Linked DNA regions of Arabidopsis thaliana. The protein of the gene in region 1 purifies or fractionates together with the protein of each later gene. This does not show direct contact. Each region holds a gene or a part of one and is shown on either strand. Other genes may lie near its edges.

Region 1 (6,218 bases):
GAGGAGAGATTGGAAATCTGTACGCCGGGACCTGATGAGGTGTGAAATAACTGGGGTCATGAAGCTTCTTCTTCTTCTTCTGACTGGCTTTTCTCTCAATTTGCTATCCTTGTTATTTTCACCTTCACTTTCATTTTTTTGTTTTTTTTTCCACAAATCTGACCCCCCTTATATGTTTGGTGTATCATTTTTATGTGTTTGTAATCCATCAAGATCATTTTCCCTTGCCCTAATATTGCAAGCTAAGATTCCGTTTCATGTTCCTCTCTAAGATGGTTTTTGGGTGAACAAATAAACTCTTAACGACATTTTTCTATTGTATCTCAGGACTGGCACAGATTCCAGGTAAGCTATTTAACTGAAATGCACATGTTGTTTAATTAAAGTTGAAAAGCGAGGAAGATGAATGAAGAGTTAACTAACTTCACAATCGGACGAGTAATTAAACTATACTGTAGGAGTCGAAAGTCCTGTAACTTTGACACGAATTTGTGTTTGGTTAAAATTTTGAATAATTTACTCAACTATTGGAATTTAACCACAAAAACCCCTTTCACTGTCGAATATCTCTTTAGTCAAAAGACAAGAGTTCATACATGTTTAGTCTGTGTGACCTATAGATCAAAAGAAACAAAACCCTCTTTTGGTTTCTGCAATAATGGGTTTTTTAGTACAATAAAGTTTCAGGAAATGGATTTCAAAGCTAATAAAGGAAATGACTCCTTCAATTCAATGCCCATAAAAAGAGGCACAAGAAGGGCAAAACACCTCATACAACCAGAAGAAGAGGGTCTATAGTTTTGCATTGCTCTTGAGTGTTTTCCCATCATTGTGCTCAAAAGATTCATACCCCTTTTACTTGGTAAGATGTTCTTTCATCTTTCCCAACAAGAAAAATCTTAAATGCTATATATCTTACTTCACTCGGGGAACTCCATTCATCTTTGCTTCAAGGTTCGAGCCCTCTTTCAGTGCGATTTGAGATTCCTTCTCCATTCCCAGGATACCAAGGGAAGCAGACTGCAGATATGATGCGACATGCCACACGGGAGAGATCACTTGAGCCTGAATTGCATCATCTAAAGCTTCTTTCGGCATGTCACTCATTAGGTAACACAGACTACGCCGAGCACACACTGTTGGAGAGATCATTCCTCCATCAATAAACTGTCAAAGTTTCAAGAAAGATAATCAGGCTAATGCTATGTGTTTGTCTACTTCATTTTATGTACAAAACAAAACTCGACCTGTGTGTAACACTCGATGGCCTCTCTAAAGTCTTTTTGCCTGAAAGCCACATCACCCTTCTTCTTCGAGTTCAAAGACTCTTGCATCTGGTCTGTCCACATATGAAACGAGAGCTGCATTGCCAAACCAAAGTAACGCAACACCATGAAGAACCAAGAAAGAAACTATTCACTGATTAACAGAGCCAAACCACTGATTCTTCCAACATAATTCTGAAAAGGTACCTCATTGGTGACACCCTCGTCGTCTTTGTATCCAAGTTTCTCCAGGATCTCAAGCATAGCGGTCAGGTCCCTTCTTGAACAAGCCTCACCAAGAGGGGACAGAGGAGAGACTGAACCACTGTGAGGTAGACCCATTAGAACATGAGACAGGACCTGCAATTTACAATACAAGGAAAATTATCTCGAGTTAACAAAAAGAAACTTGGTCCAAGTTATTCTAATGGCTCGGAAATCAATAGAAACCTCTGTCTCCTTCTGAAGAGGTGTCAAGGCAGTCACTAAAGATTTGGTGTTTGGCCGCTCACGAGCTTCATACTGAAGACAACGAGAAGCTAGGCGTACTAGCTCTGTACCATCACTATCAGAAAACTGCCCATCTAGGCAAGAATCAGTTAGCGTCTGGAGATTTCTGTCTCTAATCAGATCAAGGGCCTGTATAAAACAGATTGAAAGAATCAACCTTCACCTTTTCAAGTAAAAGCTGCAATCTCGTATGGAAAACAAACTTATTATGGCTAAAATACTTACATGGCTAGGAGGTATATGTTTTCCGCTGAGAAGATCAAGCAGAAGAGTGCCAAAGCTGTATATTACACTCTCTGGAGTAATTCTCCCTGTAAATACAATAACAAACAGAACGTGCAACTTAATCTCAACCATATGAATCTTGGAGAAAAAACCAATGATGTACCAGTTCGTAGATATTCAGGAGGGGTGAAAGCAAGATTAGTGCTGTAACTTTTTCCATCCCGACTATTCTTCATCAAGCCAAAAGTAGATAGTCTTGGATTGCATTCCTTATTAAAAGCCCCTTAAGGCGTCAGAGAATGAAGGAATAGCATAGAAACATAGACAGGTTTCGAAGAAAGAGGAAAAACTGCTTATATATAACTAATAAATACCTCATCAAACAAAACCCGGTAAGCATTGAGGTCGTGGTAAAGAGTACGGCCTTTGCTGGTGCAGTATTCAAGAGCTTGTGCTAGATATAAAACAACTCGTAGCCTCATAGTCCATTTCATAGGTTGAGTTTCCCCTAGTAGCATAAAAAGTACACTTAGACACCATAACTTCCAAGACTAGCATGGCAAGATTATTAAATGAAAGGCTATATATAGGAAAAATGATTCTCACAGTGAAAAAGGTGTTTGGCTAGTGTTTCATTAGGCATAAACTCTGCTACAAGTAACCTCTCGTCACCTTCGCAGCAACATCCGAGTAAATTGGCCATTCTCTCACTCCGTAGCTGACCAACCGACCTCGCTTCCTCCTGCACAAGGAAGAAGAACACATTCTCAACATCAAAATAAAAAGAGATGAAACAAACTACAATTTCCAAAGATAAGAACATACCAAGAACTGTCGTGAATCAGGCCAGGCCATTCTAGTAAAACGCTTGACAGCAATCTTCTTTTGGTTCTCCAATTTCCCTTTATAGACAACATTTGGAGCCTTTTCTCCATGTTCAGATACAATATACTCCACGGCAAAACCAGAAGTAGCTGCCTTAAGCTGTTCTAAAGTATACTCCCGGAAATTAGGAACATCAGTGATCTCACTACTCTCTCCATTATCTGCATCAATCAGACAATGTCTTATAGCTTCTTAGATCCAAGTAGAAAAAACACTAATTCATTGTCTTAAAGAAACTAACCAACATCAGGAGCTTCAAGAACAGCTGTCTTGTGTGAAGTGTTCCTGCAACAACTCAGGCTAGAGCATTGACCTCCCATCTAAATAAAACCACGCTCCAAAAAATATTCAAAGACTCTTGCTTTTTTCTCAGCCCAATGGAAAGGAAAGGTTTTGTTTCAATTAGGAGATGTCTCTTCGTAAACCCAGAAGCTGCAATAAAATTATACAGCCAATGAATGATCTTACCAAATCAAATCTTCAATAGTTTCAAAATCAGTGAAGTAGAGAAAAAAGGTCGTACCTTTCGACTCTACTGAGTCAACTCGACTAGTTAGACTCAAAATCGAAAGGGTAAATTTTGGGAATCGAAGCAGAAACAAAGATAAAAAAAAAAACCTAAAGCTGGAGCCAATCAAGAGGAGAAACCTATTATCACCACCACTAAGCTACCATTTGGATCGACGAAGAAATTGTAGGTTCCTCGATTTCATCAAAGAGGTCGAAGGAGAAAACAAAACCAAGACAAGCAAATCCACGTGCTTTACAATAATTTTAAATTAAACAAGAGAAAAAAACGAAATCGAGACAGTATCTCAAAGGAATCGACATGAACGTATGTGATTCATGTGAAGTAAACCATAAACAAATCCCAAATTGTCGACTATTATTTATTCTGATAGTATAAAAACTCTAGATCAGATCACACAGTGAAGTTTAGTACTAGTATACGTGTATCTAATGTATACACATCTGTATTATTGTTATTGAAAAATTGAAAGAAGAAGACAGAGAAAGAAAGATAGAATAAGCCAAGAATTAATTTTACCGACAAGTTGATGAAATATTTTAATGGGTGTGAGAGAAGAAAGAATCTGGCCATTAACCTTATAGAAAGAAAAAAAAAGAGTTGATTAATAAATTGTTTGTCGTACAGATTTTTGGGGTTTTTTATTTTCTGGAAAATAATTAGCACCGCCTGTTAAAGCAAGTGGTCTCGTTCATAGAACAAGACAGAGAGAGAGATATGCTTCTTCCTCTTTCCCGTTGTCTCTTCATGCCGTAATCACTAACGGACTTTTGTAATCAGGGAGGGAACTAATTAAGCACTAAAAACAGTGTTAATCACCGATGTGACGTTGTTTTGTTCAAGGCCCATGGGCTTTTTATATATTGATCACACGGATCTGGTTCAGCTTAAATCAAACCGGGTTTAGGCTGGTTATCGACCAATTAGTTTTGTGGAAGCGATGGTTTAGCTTTGGTTGCGAATTGGAGAAGGTTTAAAGAGTTTGTTAGGATCTAACCGACTCTGTTTTGAGCTTTTAGATTCTCTGTTTCAACATTGCGAGTGTGGAAGCAATTTATTTGATTTGATCATCAGAGTTTGTTTGCGATCACCATTGTTAATTCGGAGAACGAGTTCACGAACGCATGATTGTCAACACATATAGATGCATATCGATAGATAGATACAGATTCAAAGAAGAGAGTTATATACATGGCATGTTTGTTGATTACTCTATCCAGAAGAAGATTCACAGCATAGAGTCGGTCATGGCTGGAAGTCGCCGGAAAAAGTTGACGGGAGCGGAGGGAATGCGGTGTCGGAGCTTTGGATGTCGCATGAAGTAGTAACCGGATAACAGAGCGACAAGTTTAAAAGGGGTAATGTAGAGAGCCATGGCAATAATGAAACAGAACGTCACGAATATTGCGGTGGCGCGTGGATCACGCCAGCTCAGCAACGCTTGCACTCGCTCTCCTTGTGCGGCTATGTCTCCAGCCACCGACTGTACCTTCCCGGCCACAGATCTCAGCCGGTCGTACCTGAAAAATATGAGGGAGGAAAACTATCAACCAATGACCAAGTCTTTCTTCGTTTTCGATTTTCTTTGATCATTCTTGATTTTTGTTACCTCATTTTCACAATGTCCGGAGCCCTTACGGTCGGGAAGGTATCAAACTCTTCGTCAAGCTCATCAGAATTTACATTGTCTGCATAAGATAGTTTGGCGTCCATATGAGGAGGAAATCTAGGCTTAAACCTGTAATTCCACATCCCAATCACAGCCATATACAGAAACACAGTCGGCAAAATCATCTCCGGGAACGTCACAAGCATAGTGTAGAGCACGTGCACCAGAGCCGTCGTCACGGGAGTCTTCCATGTGCACACTTGTTCCATCCATTTCCAAACAGACAGCGCACCGGAGAACACTGTCGTGAACCTATTGAAGTTGGCTTTGCTTCTCCTCATGCTGAACAGCTGACTTTTCCAATCTGTCAAATAGTCAACCACTTCCCGTCTCAGCGGTGGCTCGGACCGGCCTAAACGAACAATAATTATGTTGATAGCCTGCATCTTAAGAGCTTCCTGTTGGTTTGTGGATAAGGGTAGTATGTAATGCATTTTAGGCAGGAGAGGTTTTGTGTATTTCATCAGCATACTGGAGACCGATGTGCAGGTGAATCTCACCGCTAAGTGAAGCTCTCCTCTTTTCTTAAGACCAGTAGGTTGTAGAACAAGTAAAGGGTAAGCATGCGTGTACACACGGCCCGTCTGAAGAGTCGAGAGTCTAATGCGGACTTTCCCAATCGGCTGATCTCTCTTGTTTCCGCCATCTCCTGCTGCGAAATGAGCGTTGTCAAAGACGCAGATGGTTAAAACCGTTGCAGGATCAAAAACCTCCCATGTGTATTGCTCATTGTACTTTGGATTCATGCTGTTGATCACAGTTCGTGACCGAACCCATTTGTGACCGTATTTGGCAACAACGTACGTGTCCGAAGTACCTTTCCCTTCCCGAGTTTTCATCGAATGGAACACATTTGCGTTAAGTATCCCGAGCTCCAAGACACCAATTGCTGGTTTCCAGAGCTTTCTCGACGAAGGTCTGAGATCACTGCTGTTATACATGGACTCATCAAAAACGTGGTAGCCTCCATCGAGAACCGCCTTATACCGGAGCCTAGTAGCGAACTTCACTTTCTTGGCTTTATCAACATCCATAGCGTCTGAGATGGAGTCTTCAAGATGAACCCATCGGTCATGAAAAGGTTTATCATCTATACGTTTCTCTATGTCATTCATCAAAATCACAGCTTTTCCTA
Region 2 (7,154 bases), on another chromosome or scaffold:
CCAGGAAATCAAAGTCAAGCAAAGCAAAATGGTTAACGGGAAGGGGAAACCAAACCAAGAAATGGGGAATAGGATGGCAAGAAGATCCAGTAGTAGATGACACCTATACACTTCCTTCTAATTTGAAGAAGTTGGAGCTAGAATGTTTCCCTGAAACAAAACCTCCGAGTTGGTTAAATCCCAAAGATCTGAAAAATCTTAAAAAGCTCTCCATCAAAGGAGGAAAACTTAGCCGAATCGGTGATGAGAGTCGAATCACAGAAGATAAATGGGACGTTGAGATCTTGCGTTTGAAGTATCTGCATGAATTCAAGGTTGAGTGGAGAGATTTGCAAACTCTGTTTCCAAAAATGACACTGTTGGAGAAATATAAATGCCCCAAAATCGCATTCTGTCCCACAGATGGTAATGGAGTCTGGACGTCGTCACCAAATATGTGAAGATAACCGCAAAAGCCTTTGTAACTTCTTTAGAAATTATGTATGGTCTCTACACTCTGAATAACAAGATACACACATTCCTGCTTGTATAAATTAAATATTTATCGTAAAGCCTTAAACTGTCTTATAAGATCTTTCAAACAGAGAAATTTCAAATAATATTTGAGAAAAGAAAAACAATCAAAACAATGGTCTTATTCACCCAGACAAGAACAGAACACTATGCCTGGGATTTTACAGCAGAAAATATCTTAAAACAGAAACAGAAACATGAAACAGTAAAAATAAAACCCGCAAGATAATGTTTCAATGCCGGTCGTTATTCAACACGCAAAGCTTCAGGCACACGTAGGAAAAAAGTATGAAAATGATTAAAGAGGCAACGATCCAGATGTTTAGTACTGTGTAAGTAGATCTTGCTCCAGCCTCTTTTATGATCAGCATTCATGTGGTGGAGGTACATCACTGTGGTCAACCATTACGTAGTCCTGCAAATACACGCAGTGTAAAATGCTAAGATGAAGCTGAAAAGAGACAAGATATGTTGCAAGACGACTCAAGCACATACGACCTGCAAAACAGAGAAAAATATGATGCAACTAAATTTTTAACAATTTTGGATGTGGAAGTGTTCCTCTTCTGATGAGTTCTGAAGTGTGCTAGACTGTTTGACATGTAAAAGATAGCTACAATAATGGTCCTAAATGACAAATGTTCACAGGAGAGGTGGTAGAGTAGAAAGTTGCAACTTACCCCGAATTTTGGACAATTCTCCACTTTCAAATCCAGATTAGTGTGAGTTGACACTTCAACTCCTACAACAACTTTCTCCAGGTTCTCACAATGCTTTAAATTCAGGACTGGTAGGCTGGCAGGCATCTCCGGGAAAATCGTTTTGATTTTCGGGCAGCAATCTAAGCTTAGGTTCTTCAGATTCTCTAACTTAGCAATAAAGCTTATAGTCTCCAATGAGAGAAGGTTTGTAATCGATAAAGTCTCCAGTGATTTCAAGTTCTCCTCATCCACACCATCGAAAGGGTCTTTTATGTCAAAGCACATCCTTAGCCAGCAACCCTTCACCAATTTGGCCTTCTCAAAGATAGATTTGACCCTTTCAGGAGTACAGTCCACAAAAGACACAAACTCAGCACTAGCTAGTGCTTCCTCATCTAGCTTATTAGTTTCATTGATCTCCAAGACTTCTTCTTGTGGAATTTTGGAATCAACAAGTGATGTTAGTGCCTTCTGATATAGAGCCCTATCTATGGGGACTTTAAGAAGACGTTCCTTGTTGACATCTACTTTCTCGGTACAATCACTGGCGCGAGGTGCATTCGATTCAACCTCTCTTATTTCTACAGGCTTCTTTTCTGTGATTTCTTGAGATATAACAACTGCATCAGAGGAGCTGGCATTCTCAGACCTATCACGTTCAATGTCTTCCTTTATTTCTCTCCATGTGTCACGTTCAAAACATTTTCCATCTGCCCGAGTAAAACGCTTCAGACAATGGATTTTGGTATCCGCTGGCAACTCTGGTGTCTCCACTTGGGTTCCAGACAGATCCACTACACGTAGGTAAAACATTTTCTCAAATGATCCCTCAATCTTTGCCAGCTTGGCACTGCCGGAAACATCAATGACTTCGAGATTTTCTAGTTTCTCGATGTTTGGGATGGCATCTAGGTTGATGCAATCACGTAGGAGGAGTTCGTTGAGACTGGACAGGTCCTCGATGGTGGTAGCCAACTCGCTAAGATTAGTTCCCGAGAGATTAAGAGTTTTGAGTTCAAGCTTATCCTCGAAGCACACTTCAAGCATTTCCACTAAGCTCGTAGTGCCAGAAAGATCAAGAATTTGAAGTCCTGACAAGGGCTTCAAACTAGGCAACCTTCTCAATTTGCTACAGTTGCGCAACAAGAGCCGAGTCAAGGAGTGAAGCTTGGCGGCCACCGCAGAATCCTGGAATATTGGCAGTCGCTCTATTTGGCTCCCCGAGAAGTCAAGATGCTGAAGTTTTGTAAGAAGATAAAAGTTTTTGTTTTTGCTCTTGTTTTTCTTGGCACCATCTGCGTTGTCGAAACAAGTTCGAAGCCCACTAGCACCAGAAACATCAACAACCTCAAGATTTACTAGTTCTTGTATGTTTGGCAGATCTTGCAATAAAGGGCAGTCTTTGATGATGAGACAGTGAAGTTCCTTCAGGCCAGAAATACTGGGAGGGGAAGACTCGATCTTAAGCCCAGAGAGGTGAAGACTTCGGAGTTCAGGAAATGACTCAAAGAATTTTTCAGATATTTTGCTCAGGGAGCTAGCACCAGAAACTTCAAGAGTATTTAGCTTTGTAAGAGCCTTAAGCTCTTCAATGCTTTTCAGGAGATCACAGTCCCTGATTATAAGAACCCGGAGGAGTTTGAGCTGATCTGAAAAAGACGGGACAAATGGTTTTACTGTGGGCTCAAAAAGGCCAAGTACTTCAAGCTCTTTCAGATTCTTGAAGAACTTTTTAGGAGTTACGCGACGCAGACGATCTCCACTAACCAGAATCGTGGTAATCTTGTCTCCTTTCTTTGCTTGCACTGTTTTAATCATATCATCAAGTTGGGTGATTTTCCCTATTCCTTTTCTCTTGTTACCACCATAGACTCTAGAAAATCCAAGCCGAGATTTCCCTAAATGCCCACCACGTCGAGGATCAATTACATTTCTCATCGCCATCTCTGGTACTACCACATTGTTTTCTTGTATCTTCAGCATTCCGCGGTCTATAAGCTCCATGAAGATAGAATGACCATCCTGGTACGCCTTTTCGACAGACCTAACAGGATCAAAGTAGCCTTCAAGTATCCATTGTGTGATCAGGTCACGGTAGTAAACACAGCCACAATGCTCAAAGAAGTCCAAGCTATGCCAAAAACAATCCAATATTGTATCCTTCAATGGACCATCGGTTTTGAACAGCTTGTATGCAAGAAGCAGGATTGGATTTTCTCCACTTGCTTTCTTAGGGCTCTCAGAACTAGATTCCTGGTCGGATGGATTACCCCGCTCAGCCGAGAGAACCATTTCTATCTTTTCTTTTAGTAACCTCTCTTCTTCGTCCTTATTAAGCTTATAGGACTTGCTCTTGACAGTGTACTCTAGGGACTTGGCGAGCACGTTGATTGCAGCTGGCAAACTCTTGCTCTTTTTCAGCATGTGGTTTAACAGTTTCTCATCAGTCCCAGGAACGGGGTCAAAGAAAAAATTTGGCATATCCTTGAAAAACATGGACGAAGTAAATAAAGCCTCTGCCTCCTTTAGGTTGAATGATTCAAGTAAATCTTGTGACTCATTTGTGGTCTGGAACGTAATTTCACCATAAGTGTTTGTGCTCCCCCATAAGTCATCTATGGTAGGAGGTACAACTTTTTCATGTTTCTCCTCTGTTTTGACCCGGGCTTGAGACTCAGGTTCCTCCTTATCAGCTGATCTAATTTCGTCTTCACCATCTGTGTCCTCTTTCTTTTCCCCGGATTGCGAATCATTTGCCTCCCCCTCAGCATGCTCACCAGATTTTGTAGCCTCCTCAGTTTCTTGTCTTCTTGTAATAAGGATTTTTCGAGGTGTGTGATCTTTCAGAAAATCCTCAAGGCCTAAATGCACCATCACCTCGTACTCACTGGTCATTCCTTCATCGTCAAGAATCAAAAGAAGATACGGCTTTCTTTCAGATGATGTCTGAGCTTTATCCTCTCCTCCGGCTACTACTTGAGTCGTTTTCTCCTTTGCGGCATCGGTTGGATTCTTGTTTCCATGGTCTTTTGCTTTTTTCGCAGCCGGATCCACCAGTTTTTTCTCAGCCTCCAGTTTCTCTGCGGCTTCCTTCTCCTTCTTCTTCTTGTCATCCTCCAATTTTTTCACGACGGCTTCCTTCTTTTCCAAGAGATACTTCTCAATCTTGGGCTTCAAATCCTTGAGCAAATCTTCAACCTTCTTCTCCTCTTCCTCATCTTCATCTCTTTCACCGACTTCAGTCTCTTCAAAATCAGAGTATAAAGATAGCTGTGAAGCTATGTTCTCATAAAGAGACCATTCGTCTTCAAACTTCTTCTCCTTGATATAGTTGTCGTTGACTTTAAACTTCCTGTTGAGATGCAACCAGAGAGTCTGGTAGCAAAGAACATCCTTAGAGGCTTCTTTGTCAACCATTTGTGCCATCCTTGTCTTCCCGATCCCAGCTTCGCCAACCAGCAATACTCTTTGATCACCACCTCCTCCCAGAGTTTCCACTATCTTCTTACACAACACCACATCCTTCTTTTCTCCCATTGCTGCTGGAACTTGATCCCAACAAAAAAAAACAAATTCAGTCAAAAAAGTCAACCAAATTGGTTCTATATATCATCAGCCTGAGAAATTCACATTTTTCGTTATTCCTTCACTAATAAGTATATAAAATTCGTTTTCAAAGTAAAGAGGAGATAATTTCTTGTTCTTGAATCATCTCTCTAGACAACCTTATGATTAGTTTTTGACCCAAAAGGAAAAAAAAGACACAACAAGTTCTTAGATCAATTCGAGATACATAAAAAGATATTGGTTTACAAGATATTCTAACAAATTTCAGTATATTCATAGATCGAAAGCAGAGAAAGAGAGAGGGACAGAGAGAATAGTAACCTGGTTTAATCTCCTCCGTCTCGGCCGCCATCTTCAACGGATCAGACATTCGTCGCTGATGAGAGTTAGTCTTCTCTCTTTCGAGCTCTTTGCCTTCTCAGCAAAGCGAAGTCAACCTCTGCTTTATCTCTCTCTCTCTCTCTCACTTTCTCTCCATTTTCTCTCGTATCTTTCTCTCTCTTTTAACATCATTTCTTCTAATAATCACATGCGTATTTATATTTCTTTTCCTAGCCAGACGGGGTGAGCCAGGCGCTAAAATTAAATTATAGGATTTTTCTCGTAAGAAATTAAAATTCTAAATAACAATTTTCTTTAAATTTATTTTCAATTTGCAAATATATATATATATATATATCAAACTCATGTAATTAAATCTAACCAATAATATACATATTTAAAGAGTTTTTACAGTCACATATTAAAGTGTCTAATTCTTAAAATGACAATTGGACTATTCATTATAAGCGTGTATATCGAAGTTTCATACTATTTTAATATTCAAAAATATTTTAAAAAATTTTATATATGATATTGAAAAATGTTCAAAAGAATTTAGAAGAATTTATCTGTATTTTTTTGTTTTTTTAACAATTATTTGTTGTCAAATTACACAAAAAAATAGTTTTCATAACAAAAACAATTAAAAATAATAATTAGGGCTCAAAAAAAAAATCCTAGAGACCATAGTAAATTAGTAATGTTGAGCCGGCCTTATGTAAATGCTTCATTTTAAAAATTTAAAATAATAATTTAATAAACTTAGCAATAGTGTCAACAAGTTATATTGTAAATTAATATAACTTCAATTTCAAAATAAAATAAAAAATAATATAACTTCATGAGTTTGATTTACATTTTTGACTTTTTATAAAATTATATATAAACTTGCAACAACAAAAACTTAAATTATATGATAAAATTGGATTAAGTTTTAGTGGGGCAATGTGAACGAGTGCATGATCAAGTTGGACATCATCGTTTCTGACATGTATTGAGTTAACATATATTTATGCAGATACGTTCATGATTTAAGATAACATAAACTGAGAACACTGTAAACTGTCCTCGCTGATACCCTATTTCTTATCAATTTTTTTTTTTTTCTCTATGAATAAACACACATGGTATTTTACTTTGAGCGTTTTGTTCGGATCACATTTATAGATTAACCCACTTGGGAAAACCCAAGCTATGATCCTACAAATTTCTAGTAGCGGATCCACTCCTTCAGCTATTGTTTGAACACTACTTACTTGTCAGTAGAGTACGATTTATAACGTTTTTTGGTAAAAAAAAAAATGATTTATCTTTTGAAATAAAACTGATGCGAGAATCAGAATGAGAAAATGTGATCGGATGGAAAGCTAGGTTAGAGATGAGGAGAAGTTGTGTTAAAGTTCTAGGCTTTGGTTGACAAATGATACACGGCCTAATTTGACGCTTAATGAGATTAGGAAGGAGAAATCGAATCTTAGAGTGGAGTTAGAGATTTTGGAAGGCAATGTGAATCACGGTGAATCAAGGATTTTGGACAATTCCCCATGAAATTTTATTTACAACACTTTCTTTTTGCTTGTAAGCTCAAATTTTTATGCAAAAACATCTAAATATTTTTGAAATAATGTGAAGGAAATAAAAATTATAATGAGTTAGAAAAATAATCAAAAGAATCTAGACAGTCTCCATTTAGCTTGGATTGGTGTTTTTGTTTTCTTTTATTTGTCACTGTTTTTGTTTTGTTTAAAATTATATTTTGGATTAGTACTAATATTATTAATTTATTTTTTTAATAAGTTTATGAAACTATATAAGAACGAACTTCAAACTATTACTATTCTTTATTGTAAAAATCATTTATTAAAATATATTGTTAATCAAAATAGATTATAGATGTATAGCGAAAGTTACGGTCCGAATTCAAATATGTATGGCCCAATATGGTGGCCCAATATTATCGAAATATATGGCTCAACTTAATTAATATACACATTAAGAAGTTTGTTAAGGATAATTAGTGCTCGAAATTCATTTCAACAACATCACCATTCC

What was found. Proteins that work in one complex are often made in the same cells at the same time.
Region 2: the proteins of BSK3 (region 1) and AT5G45510 purify together in Arabidopsis thaliana (affinity purification with mass spectrometry, with the first as the bait; one study listed by BioGRID). This does not show direct contact.

What each region holds. Positions count from the first base shown.
Region 1 is NC_003075.7:287,794-294,011, reverse strand, and holds BSK3 (BR-signaling kinase 3), read right to left. Parts: upstream 4,234-6,218; 5' UTR 3,409-4,233; exon of another isoform or gene 3,318-3,408; 5' UTR 3,206-3,317; coding exon 3,127-3,205; intron 3,047-3,126; coding exon 2,826-3,046; intron 2,743-2,825; coding exon 2,607-2,742; intron 2,509-2,606; coding exon 2,375-2,508; intron 2,270-2,374; coding exon 2,164-2,269; intron 2,087-2,163; coding exon 2,001-2,086; intron 1,905-2,000; coding exon 1,716-1,904; intron 1,626-1,715; coding exon 1,473-1,625; intron 1,362-1,472; coding exon 1,248-1,361; intron 1,168-1,247; coding exon 916-1,167; 3' UTR 520-915; downstream 1-519. Other genes in the region: AT4G00700 (C2 calcium/lipid-binding plant phosphoribosyltransferase family protein), read right to left, coding at 4,643-4,934, 5,024-6,218. UniProt on the Arabidopsis thaliana protein: Probable serine/threonine kinase that acts as a positive regulator of brassinosteroid (BR) signaling downstream of the receptor kinase BRI1. Mediates signal transduction from BRI1 by functioning as substrate of BRI1.
Region 2 is NC_003076.8:18,442,795-18,449,948, reverse strand, and holds AT5G45510 (Leucine-rich repeat (LRR) family protein), read right to left. Parts: upstream 5,343-7,154; 5' UTR 5,152-5,342; coding exon 5,103-5,151; intron 4,763-5,102; coding exon 1,194-4,762; intron 1,012-1,193; coding exon of another isoform or gene 997-1,011; exon of another isoform or gene 929-996; coding exon 878-928; 3' UTR 503-877; downstream 1-502. Other genes in the region: AT5G45520 (Leucine-rich repeat (LRR) family protein), read left to right, coding at 1-440. UniProt on the Arabidopsis thaliana protein: Probable disease resistance protein.